Astyanax mexicanus: one gene and its partner. The protein of the gene in region 2 purifies or fractionates together with the protein of the main gene of each other region. This does not show direct contact. Links are inferred from orthologs where the notes say so. Each region holds a gene or a part of one and is shown on either strand. Other genes may lie near its edges.

Region 1 (8,000 bases), on a different chromosome or scaffold from region 2:
GGACACAAAGTTATGCAAAACTTATGCAAAAGTTTTGCATAACATCTTTCACATCCTCCACCTAGACATACAACTGTTTGTATTCTGAATTTATCGTTTTAATTTATCATTAATTGCAAAATGAATATGTGAAATTTCATTTTCACCAATATGTCATTTAATTGCAAAAATATGCTGAACTACATACATATTTTATGTACAGCTCTGGAAAAAAATAAGAGACCACATTAGTTTGTAAAGCAGTTTTACAATTTTAATATTTATAGGTATTAGTTTGAGTAAAATGAACATAATTGTTTTATTCTATAAACTAAAATCTCCCAAATTCCTAATAATTCTCAAATAATGCAAAAGAAAACAAGTAAATATTTTTTATTAAGATTTAAGAGTTCAGAAATTAATATTTGGTGGAATAACTCTGGTCTTTCATCACAGTTTTCATGTATCTTGGCATGTTCTCCTCCACCAATCTTACACACTGCTTTTGGATAACTTTTTGCCACTCCTGGTGCAAGAATTCAAGCAGCTTAGCTTGGTTTGATGGCTTGTGATAATTCATCTTCCTCTTGATTATATTTCAGAGGTTTTCAATTTGGTAAAATCAAAGAAACTTATTTTGAAGTGGCTTTTATTTTTTCCCAGAGCTGTATATATAAACTTATACGTTGTGCATGGCTGAAACAGGCAATTCCACATTCTGTTACTATGAAATCTCATGCAGTTGCATTGTTTGAACACCAGACGTCAGATTTCTGCTAGTGCTGATCCGAAAACCCAGAGACCTTTCTAAGAAACATCAAAAGGAAGGCACCTGCCCATCATATGAATCGTATGTACAAAAATTGTTGGCCTAAATGAAACAAAGCATAGTTGTTTACCAAATCCAGATTATGCCTATATTCATTAATTTGTAACTACATGAGATCTCTCATGTGAGTCATGTCTGTGTTAAATTCTGTAATGATCTACTGAGCACAATGTGAGATCAATTAGGATGCTCTCCTTGTCACATGCCTACAACAAATGTTGGTCACTCTGTTTTGCTCGATTGCCCCAAGATATTATATAATATGATTTGTGGTTGGCATGCAGGAGAATCTGGAGTCATGTAAGAGGTGGGACATCTATTACAATTACACTGCCTAGCTTTAGAAGAACACAGGATAAATTACAGTTTTCCTGGTTGAGGTAATGTTACTTTTAACATAAGTACAGGAGCAAGCTACTAAATGAAGCTGAAGGGCAGAGTGTAACTGCTAAAAACATGGGTAAGAAGAGTATTTAAAACTTTCGGGAGTTTATCATTTCTGAGCTAAAAACAGCCTGTGTGTATGTGTGTGAGTAAGAGCAAGAGAGAAAGAGATTAGGAGGAAATATTACAGGATTTCAGACTAATACGAATTAATAGGAACAAACCACTGGACGTGGTCCAATTCCACCCTTTGGATTTGTCTGATTCTGCAACAAAGTGTACTTGAGTAATACTGCTTTACAGGCCTACCTGTTCTTCTCTCTTCTGTTTCCGCAGCTGGATGCCCTCTTCCTCCCTCCGTCTTCTCATCTCCTGCGGGTTCAGGGCCTTGTTCTTGTAGCTTTTCATTCGATAACTGTCTTTTCCTGGACTCGCCATTTTTGTTGTCCTAGTGGTCATACAGCAAAAGCTGATCAAATTGGTCTTGCACGCTGTGCAAAAGTTTCAAGTTTATAAGTATATAAAATTCCAGACATTTTTATTTCACATTTAAAACTTGCACTACATGATGATGGCTCAAAAATGTCATCAATATCCATAAATTCTTTCGACTTTCTTTTCGATTACAATTTAGATTTTTGGCTCTTACATAACATCAGTTATTTTAATATGTGACTATTAACACTCACAATATGCAGATCAGACAATTAATAATAACGCCCCCCTGCTGACGTCCAATCATCTGGGTCTCACTGCTATCAGAGGCATACTGCTGCAGCAGTAGCTCAGCCAATCAGCTCTCTCTCCTGCCGCACCTCTAAACCCATACATCACTCAACGCCCCTTCCAATTTTTAGCCTTTTTCCAAATTTGAGCTGAAGGTGGGGTCATCAAAAATCAGGGGGTTTAGTGCCCCTTAAAGACACTTTTAAAGCACAACAATATTTAACAATCCTTTAAGTGGTGTAGACAGAACATTAAATAATGATTAAAAAAATCTCAAACTGTTTTTATTTTATTTATTTTAATATGGAAAAGCTGAATATAGTTATACTAAACACATTAGCATAACTGTATGCTAACATTAGCTAGCTAGTCTCAGCAGCCAATATTATAGAAATACCACAAGTTATATTAACTATACAGCTTAAAAATGTACTGTATTTAAAAGTTAATCTGTATTTAAAAAATAAATCAGGTGGGATTTTGAGTTCTAAAACTGGTAGCGCTAAATAACAGCTGGTTTATTAGTAAGCTATGATAGCTAGCGTTAGCTAACTAAGCTAGCTAGCTAGATGCCAGGTGGGGCAACACAAAACTGAACCCACCCATTCCACCTTAAAGAGTAGAGTAGTTACCATAAACATATATGAGCAGTTAAATTCTGGAGTCTGCAGGATTTAGCTGGCACTGCTGCCCTGTATAAGGTGGAACGGACAATTAGATTAAGAAGGCAACTCCAGCATTTTGGAGCATTAAACAGCACCCAACTAAGATGTATGTTAGCATTACAAGCTGGTAAACCAATGTAACTGGGAACAATGTGTTTTAATCCGCACTAAGAAGGAAATTTATCTGTTTTTTCTTGGTTTCGCAACCCAAATATACCAGCTTTGCTCGCTAGTGCTAACCTAACGCTAGGTTAGCAGAGCTAATGCTAAGCTAGCTAACCTACGTCACTCCGCCTCTGCCCTCCTTTCTCAGCGTAATTAAAGCCCCTAATCACCCTTAACCCAACCTAAAGTCACACCGGACGGTGACTGAGGCTCACCTGTTCACTTCTAGACCCCAGTCCTGTGCGGATAGTCGCTTTTTTCGTGTTTTATTTGCTGTTCCGTTCCTCTCGCCTCCTTCCCGATTCACTCCGGCTGAGGAGGGCAATATGGCGTCCCCAGGTTACGGCCGAGAAGCGCGTCACTTCCCGCGATGTTTCCAGCGGGTCAGGCGAGGAAAACGAAAATAAAGAGGCTGAGTTTCAGTGAAATGAGAACCCGGAGAACCTGAGGTGCAGCGAGAAAAACTGATTAACAGGTTAAAACAACTCGAGTAAGTATTTAACCTACACCATTTAAATGTAGCTAGATATGCTGGAGGTTTATCTGTGTGTTTCTATTGTCTCTGAATGGTTGAATATGATTGAATACATTGAAGGGGCTCATTCATTCTGTCTAAAACATGCCATCGTCCTCGTTTGATTAAAAAAGCAACATATTTCTGACTTCTAGTGCACGAACTTGCATGTGGGAGTGTTTATTTAGATTTAGATCCCTGCTGTAAACAAAACTGCACAGCTCCAGCTGGTTAAGCTAAGCCGGTTGACCAGTTTAGATTTTGTCCAATGTAGAGTATGTTTCTGTTTTTGTTAACACAGACTTTGATGGTTTAGTTGCTCTACAAGCATGACAAACCAAAAAAAGCTAGCTAGATATCCAAACTTGACCATGCTCTGCGACCAAGCTGGATATCCAGAATAACCAGCATGTACAAGCTGGTCAATCTTCAAAACAAATAATACCAAGCCGGTTGACCCGCAGGACCATCCTGACCAAGCAGGTTAGCCAGAATAACCAGCCTGACCAAGCTGATCGACCAGCAAGACCCGCCTGACAAAGCAAGTTGACCTGTATGACCAGCATTATCAAGCTGGTTGGCCAGAATAACCAGCCTGACCAAACTGGTTAACCGTTAAGACCAGCCTGACCAATCAGGTTAACCAGAATAACCAGCCTGACCAAGCTGGTCAACCTTCATAACATTCATTACCAAGCTGGTTGACCAACAAAACCAGCCTGACCAAGTATGTTAGCCAGAATAACCACCCTGACCAAGCTGGTTGGTCAGAATAACCAGCTTGACAAAACTGGTTGACCATCAAGACCATCCTGACCAAGTAGGTTAGCCAGGATAACCATCCTGACCAAGCATGTTGACCTGTATGATCAGCACAACCAAGCTGGTTGGCCACAATACCCAGCCTGACCAAGCAGGTTGACCACCAAGACTAGCCTTACCAAGCAGGTTAGCCAGAATAACCAGTCTGAATAAGCTGGTCAACCCTTATAACAATCTTTACCAAACTGGTTGCCCAATTGTTGATAAATATGGTAATTTAGTTGGCCAAGGAAGTGTTGCAATAGGCATTCCTGGTAAAACCCTTGATGAGTTTAAAACCCTTAATGAGTTAGCATTATCCTGTTCCAACTGTTCCAGTTGGAAGCCCTGCCGTGAGAGGCATCACGTGGCACATTTTAGTGGTTGTCTGTTGTATCACCCAGCGGTTGAGGCTTTTCTTAAAGTCAATAAGGTTTTAGTCCTTATCAGTCCAGGTTTCCTGGTCACAACACCACTGTAAAGGGCGACGTTTGCTGGATGACTGGCTTATGGTTTGTCAAAAATGACCATCCTGCTTTGCTGAGTCCATTGATGTACCCCATTTTGAAGTGAACTTGGCAAATGTCTTCACATGCATTGTAGAAGCAGGTCTAGCAGTCAACAATCTCTCACCAAGTGATACACTACTGAAAAGTAGCCCCTGAGAGACTTTTAATGTAATGCAGTGGGAGAAGCACTTTTACGCCCCTTTAAAAAGCACATTATTATAATATAATATAATATTATAACAGTACAATTTTGAGATGCTTCATGAAACACTTACTGATTCTGCACGTTTACTATGTACTCCACTGACAGAAGCTGTCCCACCATGCCTGTTTGTGACATCTGCTGCCAAGAGTTTGCATCTGAATCAGAATTAAAAACCCACCTCCTTCTGAGCCACCTGGAAAATGAGATGAGCTGTCCGTTTTGCTCGCTATCAGGAGTCTCCTACGATGAGCTGAACTTCCACATTAGTACTGCACACACAGAGATGGATCTTCAGAACTCACCCACTGACAAGGCATCAGCAGATCGGGTACCAGACCCCACTGAAACCAATGGTGCTAAATGGACTGTGAAGAATTCGCCAGCCTCTTGTAACTCATGGAGAACTCCAGCTTCCCCTCAAACATCAGGTCATCACACTCTCAAAACAGCTAATGAGACGGCTGCGCCTAGTGCAGGAATTGCACTTACTCAAGGTCAAGGAGCCCAGTCCAGGATTAAATCCTCACCTCCTGCGGCAAGCACAGCAAGCGCATCTAAAAAACAAACATCCAGCGTCCACCCTGGGCAGTCTGAGGATTACTCAGCAGAGCATTGCAAGGCCAAACAGAAACGCCTGTCCTCCCCCAAGAAAGGTATTCATCAATAAAATGTCTTAATATATTCTTATATTTATTTTATAGTGGCCTTTGTTTGGATATGTTTGGTTATTTATGGTCGTTTTGTTGCAGAGAGGATGTTTCCCTGTCCGTTCTGCAGTCTGGTCTGCAGTGACTGCTTTATTCTTCAGGAACACGTTGAGCTGCATCTCCAGGACCAGGCTTCATCTGCATCTGAAGGTAGTATAGCGATTGTTACTGGTGTTTTTCAGTGATTTTAGTCTGGTGTAAATGTGCTATGATGCTCCTGGGTCTGTATAGATTCTTCTATTTATTTGTTAAATATTATTAAATATTGCCTATTTTCTCAGAGTGTACAGAGGTGCTCAAGAATAGGACCTTGGTGAAATGGAAAAAATAATCTTATCACAATATAGTTTTCCGTGTCAGTCGATATCGATATGTATCACCATATAAATCAATCACTGTCACACTTAAAGGGTTCTTTTTACTCATAAGTGAGAGATAAGGGAGTTATTTAGTCAGAAGGTAACAAATGAACATTATATAACTATAATATATATATAAATAAATAAATAAATAAAAGCATAACACTTCATTCAAAGATCAGATGTTACAGAATAAAAAAGTAGGCAGAGAACTAAATTCTTTGGTCAGTTCCAAATCAATAAAACCTATCATACAAAATAAAGTATTCTTTTCTTTTTATAACAAAATCTTCAAGCAACTTTCCAATGTAAACAAAAGAGAACATATAATTTACTCAGTTGTGCTCAATAAATCCTCATTAGTGCAGTCCTGTCTATTAGTGCTGTCAAATTTTCACACCAGACATACCCTACTACAGGCTGCGGGCCAGGAAGACAAGTCTGTCCACTGCCTCGTGTTTTAAAGCTGTCCTGTGGCAGGTCACAATACAGAAACCAATATATTTATACTAACAGAAGCAAATACTAATAAATAAATGAATAATATAGAAATAATAAGCATACTTAATGGCAATTTACATTACAATTTACCAACTCTCCCTCTCCACAACACAACTGATGCTCTCAAACACAATGAGAGGAAGAGAAATTCAAGTAATTCACTCTTGACAAGTTCAGCACAGCTGTTAACCGAAAGCTGATCAATCCAGGTGACTCTACCTCATAAAGCTGACTGAGAAAATCCAGCCAAGATGTGCAAAGCTGTTTCTATCTAAGCAAGAGGTGCTACTTTGAAGAATCTAAAGTATAAAACAGATTCTGCTTTCTTCAACATTTGTTTTTTGTTCCATATGCTTTTCTTCATAGTCTGGATAGCTTTAGTATTAATTTACAATCTGTCTTGTCAATAATCCAGTACGTCATGATAATAATAATAATGCAATCGGTGCACCAATGATTGGAGTAAAATAAATGGTACCTGGTAGATATAATTGTTTATCTGGTAGATATTATTATGTAAAATAAGAATAGTTTGATTTTTATTTCTTAAGCAGCAAACTAGTTCTGTATACAAAATATATACATTGCAATATCGATGCTGAAATGATATATTGTGCAGCCATAATTCTGTGTGCAATTCATTTTTGATTATAAGTGTATTTTACTGATGTAACATTTACTGTAAAATGAATTGCATCCAAGTAGGGTATAATACTATTAACACTGTTGTTTTTCTGTGCCGTAGCCATAAATCTTACTATATAGGCAGTATTGCATATGCTATTTTGTTGTTTTCAGGAGCTGTTCCTGAAGCAGGAGCATCAGCACAGGCATGTTCTTCTGTGAGAAACGGAGAACCAGGTGAAAAAAGATATTTGATTGGATTGGTGCATGAATTAAAAAAATGTGTCTAAAATGGAAATGCATTGTATTGCTTAAATTCAGCTGTGCATTACCTGGGCTTTAATTTGGAACCGGTAGGTTTTCCACTGTACGAGTGTCCGTTGTGTTCCTTGGTCTGTGTGGACAACAGCTCGCTGCAGGAGCATGTAGAGCTGCATCTGGAGTATGGCACGGCTGCTGCTGCAGGTAAATTGATGGAAATATCAGCAAAGCATTATGCAGTTATTCTGTTCTATCATAAAGATGCGATAATGTGTATTAGACGTAGGACACATAATCATGTCCATTTATGACAATTGAGTTTCGGGTCTGGTGTCCTTAATATGTCAATAACAGATGTTATTGCCCTGCCAGCAGCACTGAGGAGAGTTCTCAAATGATAAACTAAAGAGTCTATTTAGAATTTGCAGTCTGGGATAGTTTTACAGTGGAGCTTAAAATATAATATAAAACTATCACAGAAACGCTCTGTTTTACCAGTGAGGAGAACTGCACACCTTGGTAGGTGGTACCAAGGAAGGTCAGGTAGGTCAGTCATATCAATTTATAAGATATTCAACACCCTGTAAAAGGTAATGTTGTAAAAAGTCACTACTAAACTAAAGAAATCAGTGCAGAATATTTAATTATACAAACTGACATGAAAAATAAAGTTTCTTTTCTTCAGTATTAATCAGCAGCACACCTTATCTAAATGTGTGACTGTATTATTTACACTCAAGTCATGGTAGACGTGTGGAGTGCAAATGTGTA
Region 2 (7,234 bases):
ACTCAGACTCATTTACATACATCATCCCATTCAAACTACAGCAGATTTATCCCTCTTATTGACACTTGTATTATCACATTATAGCAGACTTAATGGTGCAAGAAAAAAATCTTTAATTTTAATTTTAGGACTAAAGAGATCAAACACTGTTTATTATAACAGCAATTACAAACTTTTACAATAATAATTGTTGATGTGTTCTCAATATATCGTGATAAACTAGTGAATCTTGAGTTCTTTCCCATACACAGCACCAGCCCTTAGTTTTCTCTGTGTTTACTGAGTGATGAGACAAATTAATGTAAATCAGCTGGTATGTCAATTTGATTTGAAAACATATAGTCGTTCATTTTTGGATATTTAATAGTTTTCATAGTTCAATTTAAAGGTCTTTAAAATACTATAGGATAATGCATCATAATGCTATAGAATCATTAACATAACAGTGCAATAAAGCGGTCGAACACTGACAGTAAATAAGTATGGCTCAATAATATCTGGGACATTATGTAAAACATTTAATAAATTAATTAACATAACAAACGTAGCTAATAGTTAGTTATAACTAGATTGCAGTGGCTGTGAAGTCAGAAGTACATTTTTAAAAAGTAAATATTAAACAACCCAACAATAAAATACAAAGATAAGAATATTTAAAGGTAACAGCAGCAGAAATATATAGTGTGTAAGGTGAGGCACCCACTGTAAACAATATAACCTAGTAGGTAACTAAAGTGGCTGTGTACTGTAAACATTCAGTGAGGTTTTCAGTGACTATTTTTGGTAAGTAAGCCTACAGGTGAGAGAAATGTATAAAATTAATTATTTTTCCATTTAATGATTTCCTTATTTCTTAGACTTTATAGATTAATATTAAATACCTGAAAACAGTTAAGGGACACATATGAAATTACATAGTAAACGGTTAAAAAAAAAGTGCTCCTCTACAATCACCTGATCTAAACCTAATGAACTGAGATGGTGATTTGAGGTGATTTGGGATGAGCTGGAGCTTTACAGTGTGAAGAAAAAACAGCAACTATTGTTCAGAACCTAGTGCTGAGAAAACTATTCCAGGTGACTCTACCTCAGGAAGACACTGAGAAAAATCTATCCTTAAAGATAAATGTGCTACATAGAAGAATTAAAAATATAAAACATATTCTGGTTTGTTTAAAACTTTTTGTTTACAAAAATAAAAAATCAATTTAAGACTACCAATATAAAAATTCAAAAACAAGGTAAACACATTGAATAAGAAGAGGTATGCACAAACTTTTGACTAGTAACCTATTGTATATGACTTGCCAGGTAAATAAAGGAATGAAAGTAGGAGCTAATATATAGTCTAGACTCTCTTTAACGTGAACTTACACAATGAAACAAGTAATAACTCGTATAGTGCCTCTAAACTTACTTCAATTTACGCTCTGTGGTCTTTAAAAATAACAATAATCAAATGCTCTACAGATATGACGCCAAAAGTTCAGGCAGAAATGGGGCTGCTGCTACTAAATGTCCTCATGCAGCACCAACCTGCCTATGTAGCTGTAGCTACATTCACTGGCCATTCATATACTGCTGCATACAGGAGAAAAGTGAAGCTAACAGGAGGTGTTTAGGTTGACATTCTGGTTTGTTTAACACTTTTGGGTATTTTTTTTTTATTTTGCATCTCCAATATATTACATTTTCAATGTAAAACAAATCAAGGAAATGAGAAGAGGTGTGTCCAAACTTTAGACTATTCTACTGTACATAGGCAGGCAAATAGAAGAAATAAAAATAAGGATAAAACACAAAGCCTAGACTCTGTTTAAGATGAACCCAGTGACCAGTAGTAAGAACGCATATCTAGTTTATCATAATAAAGCAGATAGATTAATAACATACTTTAATGTACAATCTGTGGTCTTAATAATAATACTCTCTACATACTCTATAGATATGAAGCCAAAGGTTCAGGGCAGAAATGTGGCTACTGCTGTTAAATGTCCAGAGCTGTATATATTGGCAGGTAAATAAAGAAAGGAAATTTAGGAGCCAATATATACCCTATGCTCTGTTTAACAAGAACTGACATAATGAAACAGGTAATAACTTGTGAAGTAAGTTAACCTTAAATCTACTTGAGTTTATGTTCTGTGATCTTTAAAAGTATCTATAATAAAATCGTCTATGAGTTCAGGGCAGACCTGAGGATGCTGTTAAATGTCCTCGTGTAGCATCAGCCTGCCTAATAATGTGTTGCTGTATAGCTTTAATTCATTTAATATTCTATGTACACTGTAAAAAAAACACACTGAACGAGAAGAAGTGTGACCAAACTTTAGTCTTGTAACCTACTGTATATAACTTACCAGGTAAATAAAGAAATGAAAACAAGAGACAAGATATAGCCTAGGCTCTGTTTAACATGAACTGACATAATAAAACGGATAATAACTCGTACTGTAACTGTAAATTTACTTCAGTTTACGCTCTGTTGTCTTCTAAATTAACAATAATAAAATACTTAAATAAATATGATGCCAAAAGTTTAGGACAGAAATGGGGCTGCTGCTGCTATTGCTAAATGTCCTCATGCAGCACCAACCTGCCTATTAATGTGAGCTGTAGCTACATTCACTGGCCATTCATATACTGCTGGATACAGGAGAAAAGTGAAGCTAAGAGGAGGTGTTGATTTCATTCATCACAGGTGTAAAATACGAGTCTCCATCATTTAGCTACTTTCATCCCTCTCGTTCATCATCAACAAACCGGACCAAACCAAAGGCAACGTGCTACAAAACCCATAGCCCTGACTACCAACACACACGGAGCAGGCCGCAAAGCTGTTTCTGTCGGGCTGACCTGTTTACTCGGGTTAAATACCCACTAAAACGCTACAGTTCGCTCGTCTAACTTTCTCAGTAATAAATTCAGGGTGCTAAATTTACCTTTGCATCGACACACATGGCTTTCTCCGTCTCACAACACTGTACGATTACAGGAAACGGCCAGCGTACAGCAGGAACTATCTTCTCGCCAGGAAGATCCGTCGAAGGCGCTCCCCTATCCCTCTCCGCCGCGTTCTGATTGGGCAACGCTGACCGGACCCGGCGCTGCGGAGCTCTCTGATTGGCCTGAGCACACGCCCGTCACCGCGCCGTGCGGAATAATCACAGGGCGGGCTCGGTCAGGGAAGGTAGTTAGTTCGGTTGAGGTCGCAGTCAATGCGGCCTACTTGCTCTCTATCAGTACAGCGGGTGGGGTGATCCAGGTCCAGAGAGTAAAAATCCACCCCGGGATTTCCGTAGCTGCTATACAGGCGCACATACAGGTTATTTAAAACCCTGCGATGGATTTTTACTTTCTAGACCTGAACGTGTATCTTTCTCATCAGTGGGGGTTTCCCGAGCTGTCTGGCTTGATAGAATTCACGGTGATGGCAGTAAAATATCATCAGCACAGCCCCGAGAATCCCCCGCTTTAAACAACACCAATCCTGAAATTCTGCTGCTTCTTTCAGTTAATTTTCCCCGTTCCACCTTAAATGGCGCAGTATATTATTAGACATTATTAGACATATTGCCTCATGTTCATCATAAAGCTAAACTACCTATAATTAATATTTTATGTATTTATTTGAAATGTATTAGAATATATGTCTTTTAAGCACGTTTTCTATTTTTTAAACATTCCACCTTAAATTGTGCAGCATTACGTTCATTTAAGGTGGAAAGAAATATGGAAACAAATAGACAAATTAACCCGTATGGACGTCTTAGCAAAGCAGGTGTAATCCACGCTGTTCGGGAACACATATTTTTGTAAGTCGCTCTGGACAAAAGCGTCTGCCAAATGTAACGTAATGTAATTTATATGGTACATTTTCACGCATTGATAGCATAAATATCCCATAAGTGTATTTCATTTTTATGTTATATTTTTTCTTTAAGCAAAAAAAAAAATACTCTTTTATAGACTGACATACACACTATACTATACTACTATACTATACTATATATACTATATTACTATGCATGAGTGTGTAGTGTCACTTAATGCCCACGAAGTGCAATAAGGCTTAAAAAAACAAAACGGGAATATTTTGTTTTATTTTCCTTTTTTTTTTTGACAATCTGTTGAAGGTGAAGAGAATTAACACTTATTGATCATCTTGTTGCAATGACACCTACCTTGCTAACAGAGAACTTTATAAAAGTTGTATATAAAGGTAAAGGTTCCATGAAGGTTAGCTGGAACGTTCTAAAAACATGTGGCATAATAAACGAGTACTGGATGTTAATCTACACAGATTTCTCTCCTAAAAACTGTTTATTTGGGCGAGAAAAAAATGCTTTATTTTATTAACAGTAAGCTTAGATTTCCAGATGTCCACTAAGACTGGGTGGAGCGGCATTAGCAGATAACTGCTAGCGCTAACGAGGCGTAAATGCCAACTGACGGCGCTACACGTAAGGCAGGGTGATATTAGCTAGTGGTTTGTCCTATGTAGCTTGTTGTAACACATAGGGTTGCAACGGTATGAGATTTTCACGGTGTGATAACCGTCTCAGAAAATACCGAGGTATCACCGTTATCACGGTATCACAGTTTGTTACATATATCATTATACTGACCCTTAAAGAAATTACAACAAGAGTTTTTTGTTCAATTAACTATTTATTGTAGAAACCTGGAACAATTATATAGATAATTTCTCCCTAAAAAAAATAAGCTGTACACCATCAGGTTAAGGAAACCAGGTTTTTCCACTACTCTTAAGGGCATTAAGAGTATATATAAAAAAAAATATATATATATATATATATATATATATATATATATATATATATATATATATATAAATATATATAATATAATATAATATATATATATATATATATATATATATATATATATATATATACATACATACATACACACACACACACATACACACACACATTACACACATTACATGTCCTCTAAGAAGTAAAGATCCTGTATTTAAAATATTCAGTACAATTATTTAAGTTTAAATTATTTAATATCTGATAAACTGAGCCTGGATCAGTGTCTGATCAACAACTGTTGTAAACGTCTGTTTTACTGCGTTGGTATATAAGCAGATACTGCAGAAAGAGGGGATTTATTTCTGACATGATCCTCATAATAGGGATTTCTATTTTAAGGCTTTCACGCCGAGTCTGGTTTTAACATATGAAAAACAGGCACGTCAGAATTTGAAAATGAACGCATATAAATGAATAGCGTCTTTCACATCCAGTCCGGCCAGGACCTTTACACGGACACGTGAATCCATCGTAGCATGCACTTCACGCCTGTACCTGTGTGCCCAAATTTCTGATAACTTCGGCGCTTACCGCATGGGTTGTGCACGACTAAAAAGAGGTTTTATTTAGGTTCAGATTAAAATTATAAACTAAACACATACTTTGCGCTGCACAGCGGGGTAGTGTTCTCGGAGATGGGGGACAGGTTTGACGTATGTCCACCTTTAGCTGTGACTTTACGGCCACATTGATTACAAATCGGATGACCATCCTCGGGTGCGTTCGGTGGGTATCTGAAATAGTCCCACACTGCTGATTTTAGTTTAGCCTTTTTTTAGGCGGACGGAGATTTGTTTAGTCTGATGCACTTTCTGCTGTTCTCATTGCTGTGTGCTGAGTAGCTGAAGCGGAGCAGAGCTGCGCATGCGCGGATGAGTTTCTCCGCTGGCTTGCGTTTTACCGGTAGTAAGCAAACACACACGGTATGATAGCCGTGTATTTTAATACCATGGTATACCGTGAAACCGGTTACCGCTGCAACCCTAGTAACACAGTAAACAAGCGGGCTACAGGCCAATATACTTGTCTATGAGTAGCGAAAGAGCTAGTGCTTAATGTGGTTAGGGGGTAACGCGAATTCTGCTCCAGCAGTGGTAGCCGGGGCTAGCAGAAGGCTACAGTCCGATAATACTGAACTCTGAACGGGGAAAGAGCTAGCACTTAGCGTGGTTAGCGAGTAATGCTAATTCTGCTCCAGCAGTGCTAGCTGGGGTTAGAGGCTAATGCTAACATTGCTTGAGAACTAAACTGAAACGCCTGTATAACGCTGTACTTCAGCAGAATGGCTTTACTGCTCCTTACAACCTGACTGGTAGAATTCACACATAAGGCACAACGGATTTTAAAGTGCACTGATTATTTTTGGGATAATTAAAGGATTTTAAGTGCGCCTTATAGCGCGAAAAATACAGTATGGAGGCTTACTGGGGGCTTTTCCCCTAACACTCCAGAACTCTCTAGTGGGTGCCAGCAGGACTAGTGGTAGCAGTGGGAGCAGATAATGCTTACAGTAGATAGATAGCAGTTTACTCTACAGCTAATTTGCTTACAGGCGTAGGTCTGAACAAGCGCTAGAATGTGCCAAAAGTACGATGAGCTAGAATGACAATGATCTAATGTATTATACACCTGTGTATGTACACTGTGCCAATGTATGAATGTGTGTTGTTGAAAGAGAGAAATAGAGAGAGAGATAGAGGGTTATTTTTAAGTGTGTCTTTGAAGCAGTTGAGCGTAAAAGACTGATAGTGACAGGATACCCTGGTACAGCCACAGGAGTCCTGCATAGGCGTGAAGGTCTGCCTGCCAAAAGCTCCATCTGTCTTCCCCTGACCAGTGCCACTGTATGTTGTAACTGTTTTCCACTATGAAGGTATGGCTCTCCTATTAGTGGAGAACTGTGACTATTAGAACCAGCCCTTCAGTTTGGGCTGAACCTGTCAAACTGCAGCCAATTAGGAGAGAAAACCTAATTAAGCTATGTTAATGCTAATTTCCGCTAGCACCCCTATGGCAGTATATCTCATCCCTGCTCCTGAAGGTACACTGCCCTGCATAGTTATGCTGAGTTCACAAGATAACCATGTTTGCTCTGTTAACCTGGAAAAATAATACAGCTCTGGAAAAAAATAAAAGACCACTTAAAAATGACGAGTTTCTTTGATTTTACCAAATCAACATAATTAAGAGGAAGATGGATGATCACAAGCCATCAAACCAAGATGAACTGCTTGAATAACGTTATTCAAAAGCAGTGTGTAAGACTGGTGGAGGAGAATATGCTAAGATGCATGAAAACTGTGATTAAATCAGGGTTATTCCATCACCAAATATTGATTTCTGAACTTTTAAAACTTTATAAATATGAACTTGTTTTCTTTGATTATTTG

The links.
Region 1: the proteins of chd8 (region 2) and kpna5 purify together in Homo sapiens (affinity purification with mass spectrometry; 3 studies listed by BioGRID and IntAct, with this or other methods). This does not show direct contact. The link is inferred for Astyanax mexicanus from reciprocal best matches to the Homo sapiens genes CHD8 and KPNA5.

The regions. Positions count from the first base shown.
Region 1 is NC_064411.1:31,758,928-31,766,927, reverse strand, and holds the start of kpna5 (importin subunit alpha-6), read right to left. Parts: upstream 3,074-8,000; 5' UTR 2,964-3,073; intron 1,641-2,963; 5' UTR 1,631-1,640; coding exon 1,502-1,630; intron 1-1,501. Other genes in the region: zufsp (zinc finger-containing ubiquitin peptidase 1), read left to right, coding at 4,896-5,430, 5,527-5,634, 7,143-7,205, 7,326-7,433. UniProt on the Homo sapiens protein: Functions in nuclear protein import as an adapter protein for nuclear receptor KPNB1. Binds specifically and directly to substrates containing either a simple or bipartite NLS motif.
Region 2 is NC_064415.1:51,094,432-51,101,665, forward strand, and holds the start of chd8 (chromodomain-helicase-DNA-binding protein 8), read right to left. Parts: upstream 3,051-7,234; 5' UTR 2,943-3,050; intron 1-2,942. UniProt on the Homo sapiens protein: ATP-dependent chromatin-remodeling factor, it slides nucleosomes along DNA; nucleosome sliding requires ATP. Acts as a transcription repressor by remodeling chromatin structure and recruiting histone H1 to target genes.